Pelodiscus sinensis: one gene and its partners. The protein of the gene in region 2 interacts with the protein of the main gene of each other region in a pairwise test. Links are inferred from orthologs where the notes say so. Each region holds a gene or a part of one and is shown on either strand. Other genes may lie near its edges.

What was found.
Region 1: the proteins of QKI (region 2) and RBFOX2 interact in binary tests that used the Homo sapiens proteins (3 or more experiments, as listed by UniProt). The link is inferred for Pelodiscus sinensis from reciprocal best matches to the Homo sapiens genes QKI and RBFOX2.
Region 3: the proteins of QKI (region 2) and SNRPA interact in binary tests that used the Homo sapiens proteins (3 or more experiments, as listed by UniProt). The link is inferred for Pelodiscus sinensis from reciprocal best matches to the Homo sapiens genes QKI and SNRPA.

The regions. Positions count from the first base shown.
Region 1 is NC_134711.1:93,540,562-93,548,305, reverse strand, and holds the start of RBFOX2 (RNA binding protein fox-1 homolog 2), read right to left. Parts: upstream 3,003-7,744; 5' UTR 2,764-3,002; coding exon 2,575-2,763; intron 1-2,574. UniProt on the Homo sapiens protein: RNA-binding protein that regulates alternative splicing events by binding to 5'-UGCAUGU-3' elements. Prevents binding of U2AF2 to the 3'-splice site.
Region 2 is NC_134713.1:116,033,342-116,041,096, reverse strand, and holds the start of QKI (KH domain-containing RNA-binding protein QKI), read right to left. Parts: upstream 3,028-7,755; 5' UTR 2,395-3,027; coding exon 2,253-2,394; intron 1-2,252. UniProt on the Homo sapiens protein: RNA reader protein, which recognizes and binds specific RNAs, thereby regulating RNA metabolic processes, such as pre-mRNA splicing, circular RNA (circRNA) formation, mRNA export, mRNA stability and/or translation.
Region 3 is NW_027465849.1:7,412,440-7,419,993, forward strand, and holds the start of SNRPA (U1 small nuclear ribonucleoprotein A), read right to left. Parts: upstream 3,002-7,554; 5' UTR 2,843-3,001; intron 2,791-2,842; exon of another isoform or gene 2,767-2,790; intron 2,085-2,766; 5' UTR 2,060-2,084; coding exon 1,987-2,059; intron 1,710-1,986; coding exon 1,537-1,709; intron 1,420-1,536; coding exon 1,243-1,419; intron 994-1,242; coding exon 820-993; intron 487-819; coding exon 398-486; intron 261-397; coding exon 101-260; 3' UTR 1-100. Other genes in the region: ACTMAP (actin maturation protease), read left to right, coding at 3,428-3,681, 4,466-4,534, 5,551-5,675. UniProt on the Homo sapiens protein: Component of the spliceosomal U1 snRNP, which is essential for recognition of the pre-mRNA 5' splice-site and the subsequent assembly of the spliceosome. U1 snRNP is the first snRNP to interact with pre-mRNA.

The DNA of each region.
Region 1 (7,744 bases), on a different chromosome or scaffold from region 2:
GAAGAGGTGGGTTTGCCCCACGAAAGCTCATCACCTAATAAACCATCTTGTTAGTCTTTGAAGTGCTATATGACTTTCTTTTGATATAATGGGGTGAGAAAGAGGGATGTGTGGTGGAACATGGGAAGTGGGAGGGATGTGGCAGAGAAAACAACCAGGAAGGGCCACACACAGGAGAGCGCCAGACTAATGCAACATAGTGGGGGAAACACTTCCATGGGACACAAATGTCCCTCCCTTCAGAGACTATTAAGAACCACAAACCCAAGCAGGAGTGAAAGTAGAAACCACACGATGAATTAATCTCATTGTTTTCAAAGAGCTCCAGCACATTCAGTGCAAGAAACAGCAGAAAGAAGCACTGAGACCAACTGCTTACCTCTAGCAGAAAAACACTGTGGCTACGTCTACACTGGCCCCTTTTCCGGAAGGGGCATGTTAATTTCAGCGATCGCAGTAGGGAAATCCGCGGGGGATTTAAATATCCCCCGCGGCATTTAAATAAAAATGTCCGCCGCTTTTTTCCGGCTTTTAGAAAAGCCGGAAAATAGCGTCTACACTGGCCCCGATCCTCCGGAAAAAGCGCCCTTTTCCGGAGGATCTTATTCCTACTTTGAAGTAGGAATAAGAGCCTCAGGAAAAGGGCGCTTTTTCCGGAGGATCGGGGCCAGTGTAGACGCTCTTTTCCGGCTTTTCTAAAAGCCGGAAAAAAGCGGCGGACATTTTTATTTAAATGCCGCGGGGGATATTTAAATCCCCCGCGGATTTCCCTACTGCGATCGCTGAAATTAACATGCCCCTTCCGGAAAAGGGGCCAGTGTAGACGAGCCCTGTGTAAAATACAGCCAGAGAGAAAAATAAATACACTCCATAATACCCTCTCTTTCGTTTAACAGTTGCACCTCCAAACTAGTTGTTATTTACAAGCATACAAGAGCATGATCCGACTAAGTGTCATTAATCTGTAAAACATATGCACGATGGCCGAACCATTTGCCTTTGCCACTCCCATCCATAGCATCTCCCAAGGCAGCACTGCCATTACACAGACTCTGATACTGTACACAGAAGCTACAATCAGAGGGAGATATTCAGCCATGGGGGAATGAAAGGCCCAGTGAAAAACAAATAGGATCAAAACTGCCAAGAGAAGAAATGTACTCTCAGTAAATTAAAAGAGTATATTGATATGACATGTGCCCATATGAATTCATAAACTGATGCCCATCTGTATCTATAGGAGAGCAGATTCTAAGGTTACAGACCAGATCCTCCTTGTTCACTCATGATATCCAAGACACCTCTGGCTCCATACTCTTAATACTTCAACCACATGATGCTTCTTACCACGCTGTAAACTATAGAAAATAGGAGTTCTGCTTTTTCCCATTTTTAATGAATGGGGGAATAATACTGAAGAAATAACAAGAAAAAGCAGTAAAGGAAATGCACAATAAGCAGCTGTCACCAATCTGGGGTACCCAAGAGAGAAATAGGCATCCAGTCAGTGCAACAGACATAGTAATCTGGGAAAAGAAAATATGTTAAAGAAGGGCAGTCCCCATGCTGAACACCAACAATGCTACAACATTCTTTGTCATTTTAGGCATTACTACACCTTTAACAGGAAAAGTCAGTGCTTAAAAAAACAAAATATGGGGCAGAATGATCTATTTTCAAGATTGTGCTTTTTTAATAAATTGGCGAACAGAACAGTAAAAGACAGTCTGAATACTGTATACCTTCACTAATTATAATACCTCAGATTACTATTAAATCAATTAGCAAAAAACACCTATTTTTACTTCAGTTTTACACTGAGCATTTAAAATCACTTTGTATGTGGTCAGTTTCATAATACCTCTTGTATTGCCCCATCAGTTTCTCCATTACTGAGGAGACCCTTACAATTGTCAACTGGGTGGCGGGACACAACCAAGTGAAAAAATTGCAGAATTTGTTTTTAAAGGAATTTTAATTAAAAAAAAATAAGCCACGTGATTTAAGAAAGTACTGGCAAATACAACAGCTTAAAAACGGTCCTTTTGATCAAACAGCTGAAATCCTCAGGGTCATTCTCCAGAATTAGCACGGTCTTCCCCTTAGAAACAGTAACTTCGTGGATTTGCTCGGCGCTGGGACAAGGAAGGACGAAAACCCCTCTCGGAACACGGGCTTCATTTCTGCTACCAATGGGACCACCAAGCTGCGGGTGGGGAATTGACCCCCCCCCCAAATAAATCCCACATCCCGCTCCGATCTCAGCCTACGGCCGCAGGAGACTGCCCCATCCCTGTAGGCCAGCGCCCCGCTGCTCCAGAGCTGCTCTCAACCCTCCCGCTGGGTCGCTACCTGGCCAGCCGCTTTCCCCTTTTCGCGCCGCTCCCCGCGGCCCGGCGCCCCTGCTCCCCCCCGCCCCGCGGACCCCACCGCTCCTCGAAGCGAGGGTCTCGGCGCCCCACATCCCGGCTACGTGTCCGCAGGCAGCGCGGGGGGGGGCGCCCCCCAGCCTACACCGCCCCCCGGTCGCGGCCCCCCAGCGCAGCCTGCCCGCTGGGCCCGGGGCCCCGCTACCTGCATGCCGCCGCCGCCGCCCGCCTCCGCCTCCGTCCTCAGCCGCTTGCTGTGGCCAGCCTCGGCGCCGTCCCCTCCGGGCATGGGCTGCTCCTGCTCCGGCTCCCGCTTCACGCCCCGGGGGGCTTCGCCGCCGGGGACGAGCTGTTGCTGCTGCTGCTGCTGCTGGGGCTGGGTCCCCTCCGCCATCCGAGCCCGACCCCCCGGCCGCCCCGCGTCCCCTGGGGGAGCCGCCGCCGCAGCCGCACACGGGCGAGAGGGTCCCCGCCTGGCGCGATCGCCCGGTGGCGCTGCGGGCCCGGGGCCGGCGGGACGAGAGAGCGCGTCGCGGGAGCAGCAGAGTCCGTCCCGCAGCGGCCGCTCCACCAACCTACTGGGCACTGACTCGGGCCGGCCACAGGGGAGGAGGCGGTGGCGGCGGCAGCCGGGGACGGGGGGGGGGGAGGGGCCGGAGCTCCTCGGCTATCTCCGGACACGCCAGCTAGGGAGCCGAGGCAGCGCGACCCCGCTCGGCAACCTTCGGGAATGAGGGAGGGGCGGGGCCTCGGCAACCTTCGGGAATGAGGGAGGGGCGGAGCCTCGGCAACCTTCGGGAATCAGGGAGGGCGGGGCCACGCGCGGGGTGGTGGGTACTTGGAGCCTGCCTGCCCGGAGAAGGAGAGCGGGTGGGAAGGGGAGGGGCTCTTGCGTCCCCAGCCCGGGCACGCGCGCCCTGCTGTGCTTGGTGCTCCCTGCCCCCGCTCACTCGAGCGGATCCGCGCCTGCCTTAGCTGCCCGGTGGTGAGGGGAGCATTAAACGCGACGCCTTTTCACCTCCTGGCTTGTCTGCTGCACGTCGGGCTCTAGGTATGAGAAACAGGCGCCCCCAGTGCGTGCCCGCTTATTCACTGGCATGTGGAGTGTTGGCATGCCTGCTGGCAGCGCTATGCAGCCACAAGCTGGCCGCTCTCTCTTCTCACATGAGCTTTCTGGGGCTCTAATCCTTTTCACTGCCTGGCTTGCAAATCTCCCCCTATCTGCTACATCCTTGTGGAGACAAAGTGAACGCAGCCAGCGCTGCAGGTGAGGGCAAATTCTCAACTTAATCTACTCTATATTTTAGAGAGGTGGTTTCAAGATCTCCTCCTAAACAGGAGGGCTGTGTCTAGACTGGCCAGCTTTTCCGGAAAATCAGCCGCTTTTCCAGAAAAATTTGCCAGCTGTCTACACTGGCCGCTTGAATTTCCGCAAAAGCACTGACTTCCTACTGTCTGAAATCAGTGCTTCTTGTGGAAATACTATGCTGCTCCCGTTCAGGCAAAAGTCCTTTTGCGCAAAGCTTTTGCGCAAAAGGGCCAGTGTAGACAGCTCAGATTTGTTTTCGGGGCTTTTTTGCGGAAAAGTGCATCTAGATTGGCATGGATGCTTTTCCGCAAAAAGTGCTTTTGCGGAAAAGCGTCCGTGCCAATCTAGATGCTCTGTTCCGAAAATGCCTTTAACGGAAAACTTTTCCGTTAAAAGCATTTCTGAAAATCATGCCGATCTAGACGCAGCCCAAGAGCTAGGACAGGAGTAGGCAATACTTTCTGAGGGGGAGCACTCCAAGATTTTGGTAAGTGGCCATGGGCTGCATTTCAATGAAGGGAGTGGGGTCTGGGATGGAGACTGAGTGCAGAAGGGAGCATGGGGTAGGGTATTAGGGTGCAGGAGAGGGTGTGGGATCTGAGAGAAAGTTTGGGTGAAGGAGGGGGTTGTGACCTGGGGTAGGGGGTTGGGATTCAGTGTTGGAGAGAGCATGAGTGCAGGAGAGGATTCTGGCTTGGAGAGGGAGGGGTTAGGAAGAGACAGAGGGTCTGGGAGGGAGTTGTGACCTGAAACGGGGAAAGTAGGTGCTGAGGATTTGGGTGGTGACCTGGGGAATGGGAGTGCAGAGGGTTGGAGGGGGAGATTGGTGTGCAAGAGAGAGTGCAGGGTTGGAGGGGGAGCTGTGACCTGGGGAATGGGAGTGCAGAGGGTTTTTGCAGTGACCTGGGGCAGGGAGTGAGGGTGTAGGCGGGGCCGGACTAGGGGGTGAGCAAGCCAGGCAGCTGCCCGGGGTGCCAACTGATGGGGGCGCCTGATGGCAGCTGTAAGGGGCACGCGGCGTCCCACAGCGCACCAGCCCCCCATCCCCCTGGCGCCAGCCAGTAGCACCCTTTCCCCCACAGCTGTGGGGCCCTGCATGGCCAGGCGCGGCCCGCCCTGGGCTGCGTGCCAGCAGCAGTGGCTGGGCCGGGCTGGGCAGCGCATGCGCCCCAGGGGCAGACGCCGGGCTGCGTGCATGCAGCCGTACGCCCCGGGGGCGGGCCTGCACATACGCCATGCTCCTGGGGGCAGTGCCGCGCGCCCGGGCCCAGGGCGCCAAAATGGCTCTGGCTGGCCCTGGGTGCGGGAAGGGATGGGGTGCCGGAAGGGGTGGGGTGCCAGATGCTGATTCTAGGAGCTGCTATGATTGGGCTGGGAAGGCAGCATGCAAAGTCTTCCTCCTCCTCTCCTCCCCCAGTTGCGTAGTGCAGAGAGGCACATGTAGGGAACAGCTAGTGACTTTGAGCTTGGGTCTGTGACAAGCAGGGAACGTGCCTGAAGGTCCCGGTAGGGTAGGCTGCAGGCTTGATCTGGTGCATGGGCCATATCTTGTCCACACCTGAGCTAGAACCACCAAATTCAATATACCAGCTTCCTCTTATCATAACTTAAAACAATGTAAGGATTTGGTTGCGCCAGGAAAATGGCACGTGCCTGGAATGGGATTGTTTCTCACAAAACCAATCAGAAGAGAGACAGAGTCACCAAATCAAGTACAGTCCTCAAAACTGACACAGGACAGTTTTACCGGTTATACTGGTATAATTTTACCAATACAATTAAATCAGTATAATTATACCAGCACAACTCCTTGTGTGGACACTCTTATTCCAGTTTAAGAGTAGCTTTTTCTGGTTTATCTGAAAGCCTTTCCGAAGTAACATAAGCTAAATTGAAAACAAAGTACCAGTAGGCCTTCTACTCTTAAAAATTCAATCAGTCTAGCTACCTAGCTCAGGACAGTGAAAAATGTCATGCCCAATGCAATGTGGGCAGGTCACTGTAGATGCAGCTTGAATTCTTCATCAATGTAGTTCCCACCTCCTAGAGAGAGGCATTAACTACACCAACAGGAAAAAGCATCTATTCATGTAGGATTATCTACACTACTAAAGCACAGGTGTGCTGGTGTAGTGTAGACATATCCTTGCACTGAGATAAGTGTCCATACAGGGATTTGTACTGGAATAAATTTTTTAGTTTTAATTATCACCTTAGCTTTTAATGGTATAACTTTCCAGTGTGGCCTAGCCCTTAGGCCTTGTCTACATGAAAGGTATTGTTTTGTTGTTGTTGTTGTTTGTTTATTGGGTGAGGCCAGAATTTGCCCCATATTTTGTATGCTATTTGATAAATTCTCAATTAGAGACCAGTGTAAACCACAGAATTAGTCTTCTTTATATTTCGGTATCTGAAGTTGTTACATAGGAACAGGTCATTGTTCCATCTGGCTGATCATCCCACCTCTGACAGTAATCCCCCCTTGATGCTTCAGAGCAGTGGTTTTCAAACTATGGGTCATGACCCAGTACTGGATCGTAGAATGTCAGGCACTGGGTCTGGTTGCTGCAGGGGGATCAAGTGATCAGTGAGGGTGCTATGGCAGCTACCTGTACCTCAGAAGCAGCCAGCTGCAGGCCCAGCTCCTAGGTGGTGGGGGGAGAGCACACAATGTTCTGTGCACTGCCCCTGACCTGAGCACTAGCTCCGCACTCCCATTGGCTGGGAACCTGCTGCTGGTTGCTTCTGGGGCGCAGCATGGTCTGTGGTGGCAAGAGAGGCAGGAAGCTGCCTTAGCACCCCTGCTGCATCACTGGTCAGGAGCTGCTTAAGGTAAGCCCCTCTTACTCCAGCTCTGATACCCTCCCCCCCGCAAGCCGGAGCCCCCTTTTACACTCTGGTCAAATTATGTTGGGTTGCAGGCATCAACAATTTTCTTCAGTTGGGTCATAAGAAAAAGTTTGAAAACCACTGCTTCAGAGGAAAGGGAAAAAACCTATGTTGGACCTATCCAATACAGGCAGTCCCCGACTTACGCGGATCCGACTTACGTCGGATCCGCACTTACGAACGGGGCTTTCTCGCCCCGGAAGTCGGGGCGAGAAAGCCCTGTTCGTAAGCTGCTCCGGTGCCCCTGGTCTGCTGGAGACCGTCTCCAGCAGACCAGGGGCACCGGGCGGGTTCCCGCGCTTCTGAGGCCTTGCCAGAGCAAAGCCTCAGAGGCGCGGGGAACCACCGCTGCTGCCGCTTCAATCTGGGTGCCTGTGGTCTGCTGGGGACGGTCCCCAGCAGACCACAGGCACCCAGATTGAAGCGGCAGCAGCGGCGGTTCCCCGCGCCTCTGAGGCTTTGCTCTGGCAAAGCCTCAGAGGCGCGGGACCCCCCCACGGCTGCGGCTTTAGTCCGGGAGCCTGTGGTCTGCTGGGGACCGTCCCCAGCAGACCACAGGCTCCCGGACTGAAGCCGCAGCCGCGGCGGGGTCCCTCGCCTCTGAGGCTTTGCCAGAGCAAAGCCTCAGAGGCTCTGCTCCCCGTGTCTCTGGTCTGCTGGGGGGGGGGGGCAGCTAGTGTGCTCCCCCCCCCCCCAGCAGACCAGGCTTTTGTTTTGGACTCTGGGGCAGAGCAGCTGGGGCGCTGCCGATTGGTCCTGCAGCGCCCGCTCTGGGCACTACTGGACCAACCCGGCAGCACCCCAGCTGCTCTGCCCCAGGTCCTGATTCAGCCGCTGCTGGTCAGTTTCAGCAGCGGCTGAATCAGGACGCCTGGGGCAGAGCAGATGGGGTGCTGCTAGGTTGGTCCAGTAGCACCCAGGAGCGGCGCTACTGGAGCAACCCAGCAGCACCCCAGCTGCTCTGCCCCAGGCGTCCCCAAGTCAGCTTCTGCTGAAACTGACCAGCGCTGACTACAGGAAGCCCCAGGCAGAGTTGCTCTGCCCGGGGCTTCCTGGAATCAGCTGCTGATCAGTTTCAGCAGCAGCTGACTTGGGGACGCCTGGGGTTCTTAAGTTGATTCTGTATGTAAGTCAGAACTGGCGGTCAGTTTCAGCAGTGTCTGAATCTGGACGCCAG
Region 2 (7,755 bases):
CTATCTTCTAGTAAAGATACTAATTGTAATATTAAGGTTAGCAAGACCTTACAAATCTGTCCTCATCTTTCTCACAAAAAGAAAGAACTGGCGCCCCTTAGTGTTCACACTTTGAAATTTTCACTAGATTTACAAGCAACTTTTTTTTTTTTTTTTAAACATTCCAGAAAGTTTTCGGCCTCCGCAATTCTTCCATCCCAACACCAATGCAATCAAGAAAAGAGCAGGAATACTTGAAAGAGCAGCAGAATGCTTCCTGGGCTATTCAGAAACATAAAATGCATGAGCAGTTTGGAAAAAGAGACGGTGAATGTTCAGTAACGTTTTTAAACTTCCATCACACAGTCCTCATATCCATTGTTTTGGATTTAGCAAACTTTGCTAAAAGAACAGATTTCCAAGTATTCCAGGATTCAATGACCTTCAAAAGATGCAGTGACCTCATGTATTCCTCTATTTCAATATCCATTTGAAACAAGAGATGTTTCTTTTGTTCTTATGACCAATAAACTTAGTAGGGCTCCCCCCCACCCAGATCATATAACTTTCAGAGTCTTCAGGAACTTTTTAAAATCCATTGCCAAGCCACTGTGGAGTTCATGTATATTTAAATGTGTCTTCATACAGTTTCTTTTTGATTTTACATCCCTTGTTTTTGAATCTTTCTGAAGAATATTTTACAGCAATCATAATTATATGTTCTAAGTAGTTTCTTGTGATGACCACGTTTATCCACTCCAGATTTATAAAAGCAATCCTCAGAAACAATTTCTCCATGGAAATACTGCTTACTAGAGTCCATTTATACCAATTCTTGTTTTTCACCCCAGTCATTTCCTTCCAAAAAGGTACTTTTCTGGGTAGGTTATTTTCTGCTACATTCTCATTTTCACATTTTTAAATATTTTGTCCCATGAAATATAAGCAATTATTTTCCCGTCTGAAGTAAATCTTTTGACAAAGTTTTCTTTCAAGTAATAAGGAATATTACTGCAGGCAGAAATCCTTTCCAATAAGATCTCAAAATCCTGTAGTTTGTTAAACTCTCCACACAGTTGAAATTGTTTCAACGGTTTTCATTTCTACACAGATTACTAAAGTCGGCTTAATATAATTTAAATAGTTCAGTTTGTAGTTTCCCACCAAGGTGAGTGGCGGTACATTCAGCTGAGTACTATTGTTTGAGCACCAACGGGTACCCTAAACATACAAAGAGCCTAAAAAACCCCCTAAATACAAGGAGACTACTTAACTTCGCTACAATAACGCAGTTATTAAAAGAGAACAGGCAGACGACGTTTGAGGTTTCAAACGTCTGACATTCTTTTAAAATGAGATAATTGATTTGTAAACACTCTCCGGGAAAAAGAATCATTAAGCGAGAACGAATGTGGCCCAGACTAAGCGGCCTCTCTGCACCCTTTGCAAGGAGTTGGGTGCGGGGCTCAGAAAAGACGGCGCCCTGGCTGAAGGCAGCAGCGGACATTTGGCAGCAGAGAATTTATTTCTTAATTCTTTTCAGTAACTAGACTCACACGTAGGATTCTTTAGGTTAGCTTCTTTAAAAGGTAACGACAACTGAGAGAAGAGTCTGCTCCCTTCTCAGGCGCTAGGAAATTTTTAATTATTACTTTGACCAGTTTGGGGTGGGGTAATGCGGGGGCCCGTGCCAGAGAAGGGGAAGGAGCTCTGCCTCTCAGGCGTTCGTCGTTCAAGTTGAAGCAGCTTCCAGAACAGCCAAATCCCGACACCAAAACACCCTTCCCTTGGCTCCAGGCCCGCAAAATAAGTCGACTGACCGCCCCCCTTCCAAAAAAAGGCACCACATAGTACTATTTCTCCCTTCAATACTTTCCAGCGTGATCCAGTAGCCACACAGCTTGAAAACGACCTTCCCGTCCCCCCACCTCCCCCCCAAACCACATTCCTCAGCGCCTTTCCCCTTCCTGTTCGTTCCCTCTCCTCCATAAGGTAGTGGTTCCCCTTCCCCTCATTTAACAGACAATGTGCAGAAAACCGGAGGGGGGGGGACCACACAAGACGAGATCCCCCACCACACCTCTGATGCTGCAGGCACAAACTGGAGGTACCCCACTGCCCCTTTGTTTTGTGAAGAGAAAGGCCGAGATCGAGTCTGAAGAGACCCGGGAGGAGAAGGAGCCAGGGAAGCGCCCACCCCCGGCTCTTGGGGTTGGAATGGAGAACGCAGGCGGCTCCAAGGAGTAGCGCGGAGGCCCGGGGGAGTGTTTTACCTTCGTCCAGCAGCCGCTCGAGGTGGTTGAAGATCCCGCAGAAGTTAGGGAGGCTGCTCATCAGCTTCTTGTCGTTCATCAGCTGCATCAGATAATCGGGGCTCGGCTTCGGCTTCTCCTTGGTTTCCATTTCCCCAACCATATTCCAATCGCGCAGAGCCCGCGAGCGCCCGCCGCGCAGCCCAACCACGGCACGGGGCGCCCGGCCGGATCCGGGCGGGGAGGGGGGCTCCCCGGGGAGGAAGAAGATTCAATCAGCAACAAACCAACCCCGCCGCCAGGTCCCGGGTGCAGAAAGGAGGAAACTCGGTCGCCCCTGGTTCCCCGGCTCCGTGCGCCCCCGGCCGGTCGGCGCAGTCCTCCAGGTCCCCCCTCCTCCTCCCGCGCGCACACGCTGAGCCCGGCTCCTCTCCGCGCCGCTGCCCCTGTCTGCTCTCCACGGCGAGGGAGGGGGGGCGGCCAGGCACTGCTGCTTCCCGAGGAGCCGCCGCCGCTGGTTGTTTCCTCCCGGCCGCTGCTGGGTCTCTGCCGCCGCGCTGCGCCCGGTGTCCTCGCCGCCTGCCTCCTCCCTCCCGTTGCCTGTGGCTGGTGAGTCTCAGCCCCGCCGCCGCCTCCTCACTTCTCCTCAGTTCGCTCCGGAGTTCGCCTCAGTCCAGGCTGCGCTGGTAGCAGCAGCAGCGGCGGCGGCAGGGGAGGGGGCAGGACACGAGGGGGGGAGGGGAAGGGACACGCCGGGGGGAGGGAGCAGGGGCGGGGCGGCCGTTAGTCAGGGAACAGCGGCGGCGCCACTTGGCGGAGCCAACCCGCGCCTCACTCGCGCTCTCGGGGCCCAGGGGGCGGGGGGCGCAGCTCCCTGGGGAAGCTCTGACGGGAATAGGGGGAGGCGGAGCCAGGAGGCCGTTCCGCGGCTCTTCCTTCCTTTCCTCCCTCCCCCCGCACGTGAAGAGCTACGTGCGGCGCACGCGGAGAGAGGCTCGCGCTGTTCCCCGCCCCCCCCCCCCCGCGCGCGCGGCCCCGGCTCGCCTCAGAGAGGCACGCATGAAAAAACTCTTCAAAACAAACTCCTGTTACTTCATCCCGGGGAGGGGGGGAGGAGTCACGTGCTGCTAGGAAGGGGAAAGCCCCGCCGAGGGGCGCATGCGCGACTGTGCTCCTCACACTTCGCGTCTTTACGGGGCTGTTGTCGCTTCGTTGGCGCCGCCTCCCGCCGAGGCGCGAGGAAAGGAGGCCGGGAGCGTGGCGCGTCACGCGGGCGGAGGAGTAACGGCCCGGCAGCCACAGCAACGTCGCCGGCAGGGGCGGCGCGGGGCTGATAGGAGCCTCCGGCAGCCACGCGTGAGGTGCGGGACACGCCTCGTGGTAGCGGCCGCTCAGCTACCCCGGCGCCCAGAGCGGGGAGGGATCCCGGGGCGCTCAGCAGCGCGGAGGGGGCAGCTCCTCGCCCCGGGCTGGGAACCGACCAGGCAGCCCTGGGGCCCATCCCGGCACCGTCCCCTCTAGCGCGGCGCATCCGCCCGGCTCCCCCTTCTGGGCTGCGCAGCCCGCGCGCCGGACTTGGGGGGGGCAAGGCCGCGTAGTGCGCGCCGCGGGGCCGGAGAGCCAGAGCCCGTCCCAGCCCTAGCGGGCCCCGAGCTCCCGAGCAGTAGACGCCGAGCAGGCTCCGCGTTTCGTGCGACGCTCTTCGTGCCGAGTGGTGAGACCATCCATAAACACAGGGCAGCGTTTGCTCAGGCGGGAGCGAACGGGGTTTAGGGCACGCCTGCCCCTCACGCTCACATTGGGCTAACTTACAGCCGCCTCACGAGAGCCGTGCATCTCACCTGTTGTCCGTCGTGCGCATCCTCACCGGCAGCGCAACTCTAGTGGCTTAAAGAGGGGGCAATACCGGTGGGGACGGAGAGTCCAAGCTCTCAACTCTGTGCAGCTCCCTACTGGAGTGCAGCTTCCTCCATCCGTGTTTCCTAGGCGCTCCGTGGGGACCTCTGTGTCTGATGTGGGGGGGCAGCTGTTGGGCTCCCTCCAAGGAGCCCCTCCAGGGTTGCCAGGCTCTAGGTAGAGCCCACCCATGTTGGGATGACAGATGGAGCTGCATGGCTTTCCTGTCAGTTTCGTGGCTCATACTATAGAGCTGGGAAATTCACAAGAATGACAACTCAGAGCCAAATCAAATAATCTATAGGGTCTTCACTGACATCCCAATTACATCCATTAAGCTCTATGCCTCTTATAGAGGTGGCATTACTGTGTGAAGTAGGGCACTTCTGACAGCAGGAGCAAGGTTGAAGCAGTACATTCACATACTTTAGTTGACAAGCTGCCTTTTGGTTTTGGCCACAGTTTGCCATTCCCAACCAATGGGAACTGTTAGAATGGTGAAAGGCGGCCACTGGGAGCTGCAGGGTGAGGGGAGCAATGCCTGTGGATGCTCAAGGTAAACAAATTCTGTGGATTACCCTGACAGGCAATGAGCCAAGTTTGCCAACCCCTGCTCTAGGTTGTAAAAACTTAAAAAACAACAAATTAGTTTAGTAGCACTTCAAAGACTAACAAAACATGTAGCCTTTCTCCCAAGACCTCTGAGAGTGAGGGGTCATGTTCCAGGATAGGTTATAGATTGTTGATAATGTGTTAGAGGGATTTAAGATGTAGACTATAGGCGATAAGTGGAATTCTGTTGTTTTCTCTTCTGGGCCTGTCTTGAAGTAGTTCATATCTGGGGACTTTTTTGGCTCTGTCAATCTGTTTTTTCACTTCTCAGGTGGGTATTTCAATTTTAAGATGCTCCTATAGGTGCATGATCCTGTAGATGTTTGTCTCTGTGGGGTTGGAGCAAATATGGTTGTATCTTAGGGCTTCACTGTATACAATAGATTGGGAAATGTGTCTGGGATGGAAGCTAGAGGCATGAAGGTAAGGGTAGCAGTCAGTAGGTTTCTGGTATAGGGTGGTGGAACTTTATGCCATCAAATGGTGGCAATGCCCCACTGCAATGTATACTGGCCAAACTGGACAGTCTCTACAGGAAAGAATTAATGGACACAAATCAGATATCTGAAAAGGCAACACAAAAAACCTGTTGGAGAACAATTTAATCTTCCTGGACACTCATGAATGGATCTTCAAGTCCTGGTTTTGTTTCAGACCACTTCTACAAGCCAAATACACAAAGAAGGATTGGAACTTAACTTCATTCACGAGTTTAATTCTTATGTTAATGGTCTAAAGAGGGGTAGTGAATGGCTCAGACACGCTCTTCCACCATTTAATAACAACCAACCAACCAACCAACGATGGTGCTAATGGTTCTTAACAGACCCTGTAACTACCTGAACTATCTACTCACCATCTACATGTTTTGTTAGTCTTTGAAATGCTACTAAACTAATCCTTGTTTTTTAAGTTTTATCTACTCCCTGTCTCTTTTTCTTCCTCCCCTCCTTCCCCCACCCCCCATTTATCCTTGGATCTGGACTCATTATACGGCTGTCATCTGAAGAAGTAGGTTTTGCCCACGAAAGCTCATGACATCATCTACATGTTTTGTTTTTAAAGTGCTACTAGACTATTTGTTTTTTAAGTTTTTCCTGTGACAGACTAACTTGGCTACCTCTCTGAAGCTCTGTTGTAAAATTATAGATAACTGGGGAAAAAAATTACTCAACTAGGTACTGTTGGCTTTTCAAGTCTGAAATTCAAATTAAGTAAATACAAATTAGTGCTCTATTAAATATAACAAATATAAAATGTTCTTCTAAATAAAATGCATCCAGTGCTAAACTAAGTAAAACGACATTTTGAGTCAATCTTTTTGGGCCATCTACTATTTCATTACTGTTGTTTATTGTCTAGTACTGAAATTTTAAGGGAAAGCATAGTTATCAGTTTAGCACAGATATTGCGTTTTTTCCTGTATCTTATTTTAAATATACATACTTGAGTTAGAAATGAGATGAGGCATTTTCTGTGAGATTTTGTCTGCATACCAATACTTTGAGCAAAGCAAAGAATCAGGTAAGTCAAATTAGTGGCTTGTTACTGAAAAACAATCAAGATAGTTTCCTTTTATCTGGAAAATAATAAAGCACATACAATGGTAGTTTTGTTCCCAAAGAGGGAGTAGCAGTGTTATGAATTAGTTTCTTAAATTAGATTCTTACTCTTCCAGTATCACTGCAGCAATATTTAAGGCATTGGCTGTTGATGTAAAACCACTGGCCCAGTTTAATAACAAGGTTACAGGCTTTTTTTCTTTCTTCTGGCTCTTGAATTTTTTTGGCTGTTTCTCAAATGTATCGGAGTAGTTCACATCTTGACCAAGAACACTTTTGGGATACGTTACAGAACAGGATGTCACATACAGACAAGTCAGTCTTAAGACTACATTTGTGTCCTTTCTAGGTGTCATGGTTTAGTTTTTTGATCTGGTGTGTGTACATGTGTTACTATATGTAAGACATTCTTAGGGGTGTGTTCTCAAATTGGAAAAAATGTAATTAAGGACATCAGTGAGCAAATAGGCATTCTCCTCTTATGTAATAATTAAATTAATTTAAAATTTAAGTTTACAGTTCTGGAGAGCTAATACAAGAATCATAGAAGAAGTAATGCCAGCAACTCCATATTGAAGTGGGTTTTGCTCTTGAAAACTCATGATATATTTTGTTAGTCTAATGCTGTGTTTCCCAAATGGTGTTCTGCAAAGTTAAAATAAGGGTTCCGTGATTAATTTCTATTGCAATAATGTTTTATGATTTAAACAAAATTTAAGCATTTATTAATTTTATTGAAAATAATTTTCTTTTGTTTGCCACTATAAGTGTCCCTGTGTAATGCCAGCTTAGCCAGAGGGTAGGGACGATGATATCACTACTCAGCACTGTGCCATGCACCGTCAGTAGTGTGATCACCTGTTATATACCACCATAAATCACCGTACTCATTTTCAGGGAGCGTAGATCATGTGGGTGATTGAATACGAATATACTAGCACTGCTTCGAACAAAGTCGACACTTCAGCTGTCAAAAGAATTGATTGTGTGGGAGTGCGCAGGCAGTGCTCTCGAAAGATAAAATTTTGTCGTTGTCACGTAAGCTAGTTTTGGATCTTGTCTGTAGGACAACTGCCAAAATAATGCATATTAGTTTTTAAGATTTATTTTTTGTACACATTAAATGTGATTTTTATTTTTAAATATGTGCAATTAAACTAAATGTTGATCTCATGACCTTGTTTAGCATTTGCTTATTATTATCCTTACTTATTTGTGGTCTACGTTTTCAGCTCCATATACAAGACTGTTATTAGGGGTTCCGCGAAATTATTTTGAATTTAAAAGGGTTCTGTGACCAAATAAAATTGGGAAGCACTGGTCTAACGTGTTACATGACTACACTTTCTTAAAGTTACAGACTAACATGGCTACCCCTCTGATACTGCCTCTGTGTGTGTTTTAACCATGATATGAAAGTACTACGTCCAGTGTAAAATAGTAGATCAGTCTCC
Region 3 (7,554 bases), on a different chromosome or scaffold from region 2:
GCGGCCAGACTTACCTGCCAGGGAACTGGTTTAAAAAGGGGGGCTGGTTGAGAACAGACTAACTGGGGGTGAGGGGAGCAGTCCTGGGCCCCGGGGGGCTTCATTTCTTGGCGAAGGAAATCTTCATGGCGTTGCTCTGCGTGATCTTGAAGCCCTGGAGGGCGTCACGGGCAGCGCCAGCCTGCACCTCGTTATCGAACTCCACGAAGGCGATGTCGTGCCGGCCAGGCACCAGCCGCACCTCCTTGAAACCCGGGAACCTGGGGGGCAGGATCCGGCCATCAGAGGGACAGACCCCTGGATTGCTCTCGTACCCCCACCGTGCCCACAAGCCACACCTCCCCCCCAGGGGGTAGCCCCACACGGCACGCCCAGAGGGCCCAGGCCCCGCACTCACTGATTGAAGAGCATGGAGAGCATGAGCTCGTTGGTCTCCTCCGGCAGGCTGGTGAGGAAGAGGATGTGGTTGGGCGGGTTCTCCGAGAGCTGAGGGGGAGAGAGCAGAGTGAGGCCGGGAGCCCTGCAGGGCGGCGCCAGCCAGACGCCCACAGCAGGGGCAGTGCCCAAGGCAGCCCCCTCCTCACCCCCATTACCAGGGGAAAGTGCCCCCGATCTCCATGCACCAGCGCCCTCCGGGCCTCAGCACTCCCGGCTTCTCAGCAGGGGCAACTGGCTCGGAGATCATCCCACACGAGCCTCCGAGCTCTCTTCCACTGCCCACCGCAGCCTGCGTCTTGGAGGGGAACGGCCCAAGCCCCACGCCTGGAGGAAGCTCTGGTCCGACCGGGCGGCTCCCAAGCCGTGCTCTGTTGTACTCACCTGCTGGGTCGGCGGCATCTGGCCTGGCATCATCTGCTGAGGGGCCATTCCCCCAGGAGCCATACCCCCCGGAGTCATGCCAGGTGGGGGGATCATGCCCGGAGGGGGCATATATGGCGGCTGGCCTGCCATGTGGTGCATCATGCGAGGGCCCTGGTTCATTTGTGGCATCCCCTAGGAGAAAGAGAGAGGGAGGCCTGGCTTCACAGCAAGATCCTGGGTGCAGAGCTGCCCTGGAGGCTTTGAGAGCTGGCAGCCCTGGCACTCACAGCTGTCCGCAGAAGCCAAACACAGCCGGCAGCCTTTGCATCTGGGAACAGCCTGAGACCACACTGGCCGCACAGGGAAAGGCTCCCCCATGGCCCTAGCTTCGCCTGCCAACCAGCCACTGAGCCAGTCAGAGAAGCTGCTGGTGTTACTTACAGGGACAGCTCCTTGCACCGCAGCTGACACCGGCGCGGTCGTGCCAGGCATCTGCTTCTTGACCGGGGGCGTCTCCGGGCCTTTGGGCTTCCTCTTCTCCCGCTTGCGGTCCCGCTCCACATAGGTGCCTTTCATTTTCGATATGATGTCCGAGTCTGACTTGGCGTACTGGATCCTCTGGCGGGAGATACCATTCATCAGGAGGAGCACGGCCAACCGGCACCTCTGGCCACTCCAACAGCACCCTCCAGACTGGCTCCCTCCCCAGGAGGGGGGGCAGCACGCAGCACTTACCATGGGCTTGTCGTAGAAGGGGAACCCCTGCATAGACCTTAAGGCATTTGTGGCACTGCTGATTTCCTTGAAGATGACGAAGGCTTGGCCTCTCATCTTCAGACTCCGAGACACCAGGATATCCAGGATCTGGCCAAACTGCGAGAAGATGGCGTAGAGAGATTTCTTCAGCTCTAGGGGAGAGGCACACAGTTAGGCACACGGATCGGACAGACACCGCTCGACCGCCACGAGGAGCTGTGCACACAGCGGAGCTGGGGCAAAGCAAGCAACTCCGGTGCACACCTGCCACACCAAAGAGAGGGGGTCAGTCCTCCTCAGCCAGATGGCACCGGGGACGGCCAGGGATTAGAGCCCCTGCCTCCTCCGAAGTACGCGCCGTGGGTACCAACCCCTCAGCCCACCCACACGGCCAGCCCAGGCCAGGAACGCCCGCGGGAGTTGGCTCACCATCCTTCTTGATCTTCTCGTTGAGGTTGTTGATGTAGATGGTGTGATTGGGGCGGGTTTCCGGGACAGCCATCCTAAGTGCTTCGCAACCACGGGGTCTAAGGAGAAGAGACAGTCAACGGACACACCCGAGCCATGGCGATGTGGTTCCCCAGGCCACAGCAGCCCCATGATGGGCGGGGGTGGGGGGGGTTTGGCTCCAGGGGTCATGGCCCCCAGGAGATCCCCATGGTGCCCATCCAGTAGCTGGAGCAGTGGGATCCCAGCAGGTCAGAGCTTGCACAGGGGTGTGATGCGCGGGTAACGCCCCCCCCACCCCCCTGCGGAGGGGTGTGATGCGCGGGTAACGCCCCCCCCCACCCCCCTGCGGAGGGGTGTGATGCGCGGGTAACGCCCCCCCCACCCCCCTGCGGAGGGGTGTGATGCGCGGGTAACGCCCCCCCCACCCCCCTGCGGAGGGGTGTGATGCGCGGGTAACGCCCCCCACACACCCGCTCGCTCACTCCTGCCTGGCCCAGCCAGCACACACAGAGAGCCAGGGCCGCGTCTGGGGTCATGACCTCACCATGGGGGGGCGGGTCAGCAGGGCAGCCCCGCCCCCCACTGTACGACAGCCCCGCCCCCAGGGAGCTAGGGCGCCCACCCTGGGGGGAGGGGAGCCAGCACGTGGCTCTGCGCCCGGGAGAGACCCGGATGTAGAGACCACCCCCCCCCCGGGAACCCCACCCCCTCGGAAAACGCCCCCTCCCCCGCCAATACCGCCCCCTCCCCCGCCAATACCGGGCTGCCCAGGCCGGGCCCGGCCCCGGCTCCCGACCCCGCGGCCCGATGGCCCGGCCCCGCCGCGGCCGCTCACCGATGGAGCCCGATGGAGTCCGCAGGCCCAGGCCGCCCGCCGCCGCCACACGAGCCGCGCCGAGAGCGCCGTCCGCGTGGGCCAATCAGCACCAAGCAGCCTCGGCCTCACCAGCCTATCCAAAAGCGCGCCCTGCCAGCCCCGGCCAATGAAAGGACGTCGGCCCCGGGCCTGGGAGCCAATCCCGGCCGTGCCGCGCGCCTGGAAAGGGACCAATCCGCAGGGGGCGAGCGTGGCTCGCCCGCCTAAGCCGGGTGGTCGGCAAGGTAACTCCCGCCCCCTGAACGGCCATTGGCTGAGAGCAGCTGTCAGTAGCCGCTGTGGCTCTGCTGATTGGCGGCCTTTGGCGCGCGCCCCGGAAGGAAGGGGAGACACAAAGGAAGCGGGTGTCCAACCACGTGACTAGACTCGTCCGACCGCAGACCTGTCCCGCCATCGCCTTCTTGGGGGGGCACCTGACACCGCCCCCGGTGGCGACCCCTGACCCCTCCAAGCCACGCCCCCTCCCCCCGCCCGCCAACTGACCTCTGACCCCTGGCCTAGTCTGCGCCCTTTGACCTCCTGCTGCCCCCAGCCAGGGCGGGGATGGCCCATAGGGGTGGGGTGCCTGCCCCTCCCCCACCCACTCTAACCCCCCACCAGGGCCCTCCCCCCACCCCCCAGCCCGGCCCTGCCTTGCCCCCTCCCCCGCCGCCTCCCCCGCTGCCCCCCCCTGCTCAGTCCCTGCCCGTGTGCGGGGTCGACAAGGCCAAGTTCTTCAAGGCGGCCCTGGAGCGAGCGGCCCCCGCGCCCGGGGGCAGAGACGACGTCCGGGAGCTGCTGAGCCGCAGGACAGCCAGGTGGGGCCCCGCCCGGTCACCCCCCCGGGCTGGGTCCCGCCAGTCTCGCCTGCTGAGCCGCGCCGGGCCTGGGTGGGCGACCCGCTTGGTATTCCCAGCGCCAGGGGTGCCCGTGCTGCAGGGAGCGGGTCTAGGGCTCGGCAGAGGGGCACTCTCTCGGCAGCGCAAGGGGGCATTGTGGGGCAGGGAGCAGGGCCGGGGCTCAGCAGAGGGGCACTCTCTCGGCAGCGCAAGGGGGCATTGTGGGGCAGGGAGCAGGGCCGGGGCTCAGCAGAGGGGCACTCTCTCGGCAGCGCAAGGGGCCGCTGTGGGGCAGGGGAAGGGGGAGGCATCGCTCAGCTCTGACCCCAGTTCCCCAGGATGGCCATAGAGATTGGTGTGTTGCTGGAGGTTCCCGTAACTCTAATGAGACATAGACGTTCATGCCTGGTCTCTGCTCTTTGCTCCAGAGCCCGGGTGTGCTGAACTCCAGTGTCCTGGCCAGGGCCTAATTCGGATCATTCCATTTTGCTTCCCTAAATTCAGTTGGCCAGGCAAGAGGGTACAGGACCTTGGGCCACTTCCTGTCCCATAGTGGGGCGTGGCTGTGTGGCCGGCCGACAGTGGCCACATCCCACCCCAGAGACCGCCGCAAACCCTGCAGCAGATGAAGTCAGCACTCTGCTTAGTTCTCCCAAAAGGAGGAGACATGATCTTCACATTAGTCACGCGGAGGGGCCCACATTGGGGAAGAGGGGCTGCGGGGCAAACGGGCAGTAAGAGCTTGTTTGGGTCTTTCTTTCAGCTTTAGCAGGCATTTAAAGTGGCTTCTGTACAACAAGCCGGTGCCTTCCTTAATCCAAGAGGGACCTCAGTGAGTATTGCAACCACGGGCAAAGGAAGAGGGGAGGGGTTTGGGGTCCCAGTCCTATGGAGCCACAGCTTCCCCGTCTGGCATTTACTCCCTCCCCAAAAGTTGCCAAGAGCTGTTCTGTGAGCATGGCAGGGCGAGGAGCATAGGCCTGGCCAGTCTGAGCTGGCAGGGAGCTGGCTGCTGTTACACACCAGTTGTGTTACGTCAGCGCCTAGGACTCCCAGCCACGGACTAGGCCCCTGTTGGGCTGGGTCCTGGACAAACATCCTAAAAGACCATCCTTGCCCCAGAGCCGTGCAATCTCGGGCTAAGATAGAGCCAGTCCGTGGAGACAGACAGAGCACGGAGTGATGGGAGACCAGGAGACCATGCCAGTGTAGTGGCCAGGGGTCTCCGCACAGCGGCGGTCTAATCTCCGTGAGGTGTCTTGGAGGTGTCCCAGCAAAGGAGAATTTCCCAGAGCGCTGCTCAGGAGGAAGAGGAGGGAGCCGTGTGGATATTTACGGGGAGCTCCGCTCCAGCAGTGGGCGAGAGTTCAAAAGGCCGGGGAAGCATGACTCGCTGTGTCAGAGGGAAAAGGAGCATGAGGAGGTAGCACAAGGTCTGACGAGTTGATCTAAACGTAACGTCCCACTCGGGGGCAGTCCTTAGAACTGTCTGGCCTCTTCCACCTTGAGCAAGCATCCCTAGACAAAGCGGCTGCTCCCCCTAGCCCCCGCTTGGGGGGGCGAGTGGCAGCCTCCGTGAGTTGTACCTCGCACCTTGGAGAGGAGGAACGACGCCAGGAGCTGGTGTCTGTGGCCAGATGCTCCCATTAGATCATATCATAGCCCCAAGGGGAAGCGAGAAATGTGGGGAGGCCGGGAACGGGAGGGAGAGGAGGCCAAAGGACACGGTGACCCAGGGAAGCATTCCAGGGTGGACTGTGCTGCAGAGAATTACCTGTCTTTGAATCCAGCTCAGCCTGGGGACCGGGATCCCAGCAATGTCTCTTCTCCCTCCCCCTCCCCCCCCAGGTGCGGGCTGGTGGCACTGTGGATGGCAGGCTCCCTCCTCGGTCTGTCCCAGGACATCTCCCTGGAGAGGATCCTGCGGGTAGCGTTGGAGAGAGGCTACACCGCCCAAGGGGAAATGTTCTCAGGTCAGTCGTCACAATCGCCCACGGCAGGCGCTTTGCACTGGGCTGGGCGCTGGAGGGACTCTCCAAAGCCCGTTCCGGGCTGCGACTGGGTGAGGAAGTCCAGTCCCCAGAGGGCCCCGTCACCGGTATGTGAGAGAGGGCCCCAGGGAGCCATGGGAGCTCTGCTCTCGCCATGCTGAAATTCAGACGTTGCTGGGAGCCGGCCGCCTTCCCGGAAGGGCTGCTTTGGGCTCGGTGGAGGGAAGCTGGGGCCCGCGTAACAGCCTGTGCTGGACCGGAGGTCAGATCCGATGAGCTAATTGTCCTTTACTCTGAGCCCTGCCTTCTGCCTGGCTGCGGCTCCTGGCTCTGGCCCTCCAGTGAGGTTCGTTTGCTTGGAAACTTGCAAGCGCCTTGGTTGGGAAAATCCCCACGGCCGGGCTGCTAATTTCCCGGCCGAGGCAGAAGGCCCCTCTGGGAGCCGCGTCTGGCTAACACCGGCCTCGGGCAGAGATCGTGAGACTCTCCTACGCCCTCAGGGCTGGGGACTCCCCTTTGGCGCTTTTCGGGCCCTCACTGTCCAGCCTGCCTGGACACTTCTGCTTTCTTTGAAAGCACAAGATCCCTTGGAATCCCGGGGCTGCAGGAGGTGGGGCTTTGTCGGGAAAAACACCGGCTCTCCTTGGCAAGGCTCCCGCATGCAGGCCCCAGCCTGGATGAAGGCCCCAGTGCCGGGTAACAGTGTGGTACGTTCTCTCTGATTCTCGCAGGGACTGGTAGGATCAGCTGGCCCCAGCTCCTGTAGAACAGGGGCCACAGGCCTGCCCTGAATTTGCTCCTGGGTGAATGAAGCTGATCTTTCCAAACACCAGCCTGTCTGGGTCTAAACGGCTCCAGCGACAGACCCCACCGCAACCCTGCCAGTCGCAAATTCCCCTCCCCATTATAGATCTCTGCCCGCTTCCTGTCTGAATTGGTTTAGCTTCACCTCCCAGCCCGGGCTTGTGTTTGATCTTTGTCACCGGCCCTTGGAGATCAAATTGCCATTGCCCGTGTCAGATCACATCCCCCGCGGTGGGTTTCCCTTGCGAGCCGTTGGGGCGCTGCTTAGGGGAGCAGAAAGCCGGGGATCCTGAGCCAAGCTTGGGCCGTGCAGCTAGGGGTGGGCCCAGGGGTGGCCCTAGACTAGCTGCCAGCAGCTGGCGCCCTAGGCAACCCATGCAATCGGCACCTCCACCTCCAAACTCCTCAATGATCTGGCGCCACCATTTGGCGCCCCATTTAACTTGGCGCCCTAGGCGACCGCCTACTTCGCCTATATGGATGGGCCGCCCCTGGGTGGGCCCGAGGGCAGCTTGAATTCCTGTCCCTGCCTCTCCCAGCGGCTGACATGGCCCAGCTGGCCGAGGAGGTGTTCCCGTGCCGGGCAGAGCTGCTCTCAGGAGGCCTGGAGGGAGAGAACCAGGAAAGGATCCTTCGCCATCTGACTGCTGGCTGCCCCCTTCTGCTGCCGTATCCTTCCCTTGAGAAGGGCGGGTGTGTCCCCGGCGATGCCCCATCTGTGCTGGTATCCGAACCGCAGCTTGCACGGGTGGGTGGGACTGGTGGGGTTCAAATCCCCCCGGAGAGCAGGCCCGGTGGTGTCATTTTAAAGGCAGATGCAGCTGCTTCTGGGGTGGGACGTGGCCACCATGTCGTTCGTCTCCTCTTCCTGGCTGTGGGGGCGGGGGAGGTTGAATGGGGAGCAAGTGCGTTTCGCTCTCCTGGCAGTTAAATACACCCCCCTGCCCACCCCGCCCCCTTCTCCTGCCTGCACCCTGCCCGTTGGGGGCAGGTTCTGACAACAGCAGATTTCAAGCTACAGCCCCTCTCCGGTCAGAGGGGTTTAGCGTCTCCTCGC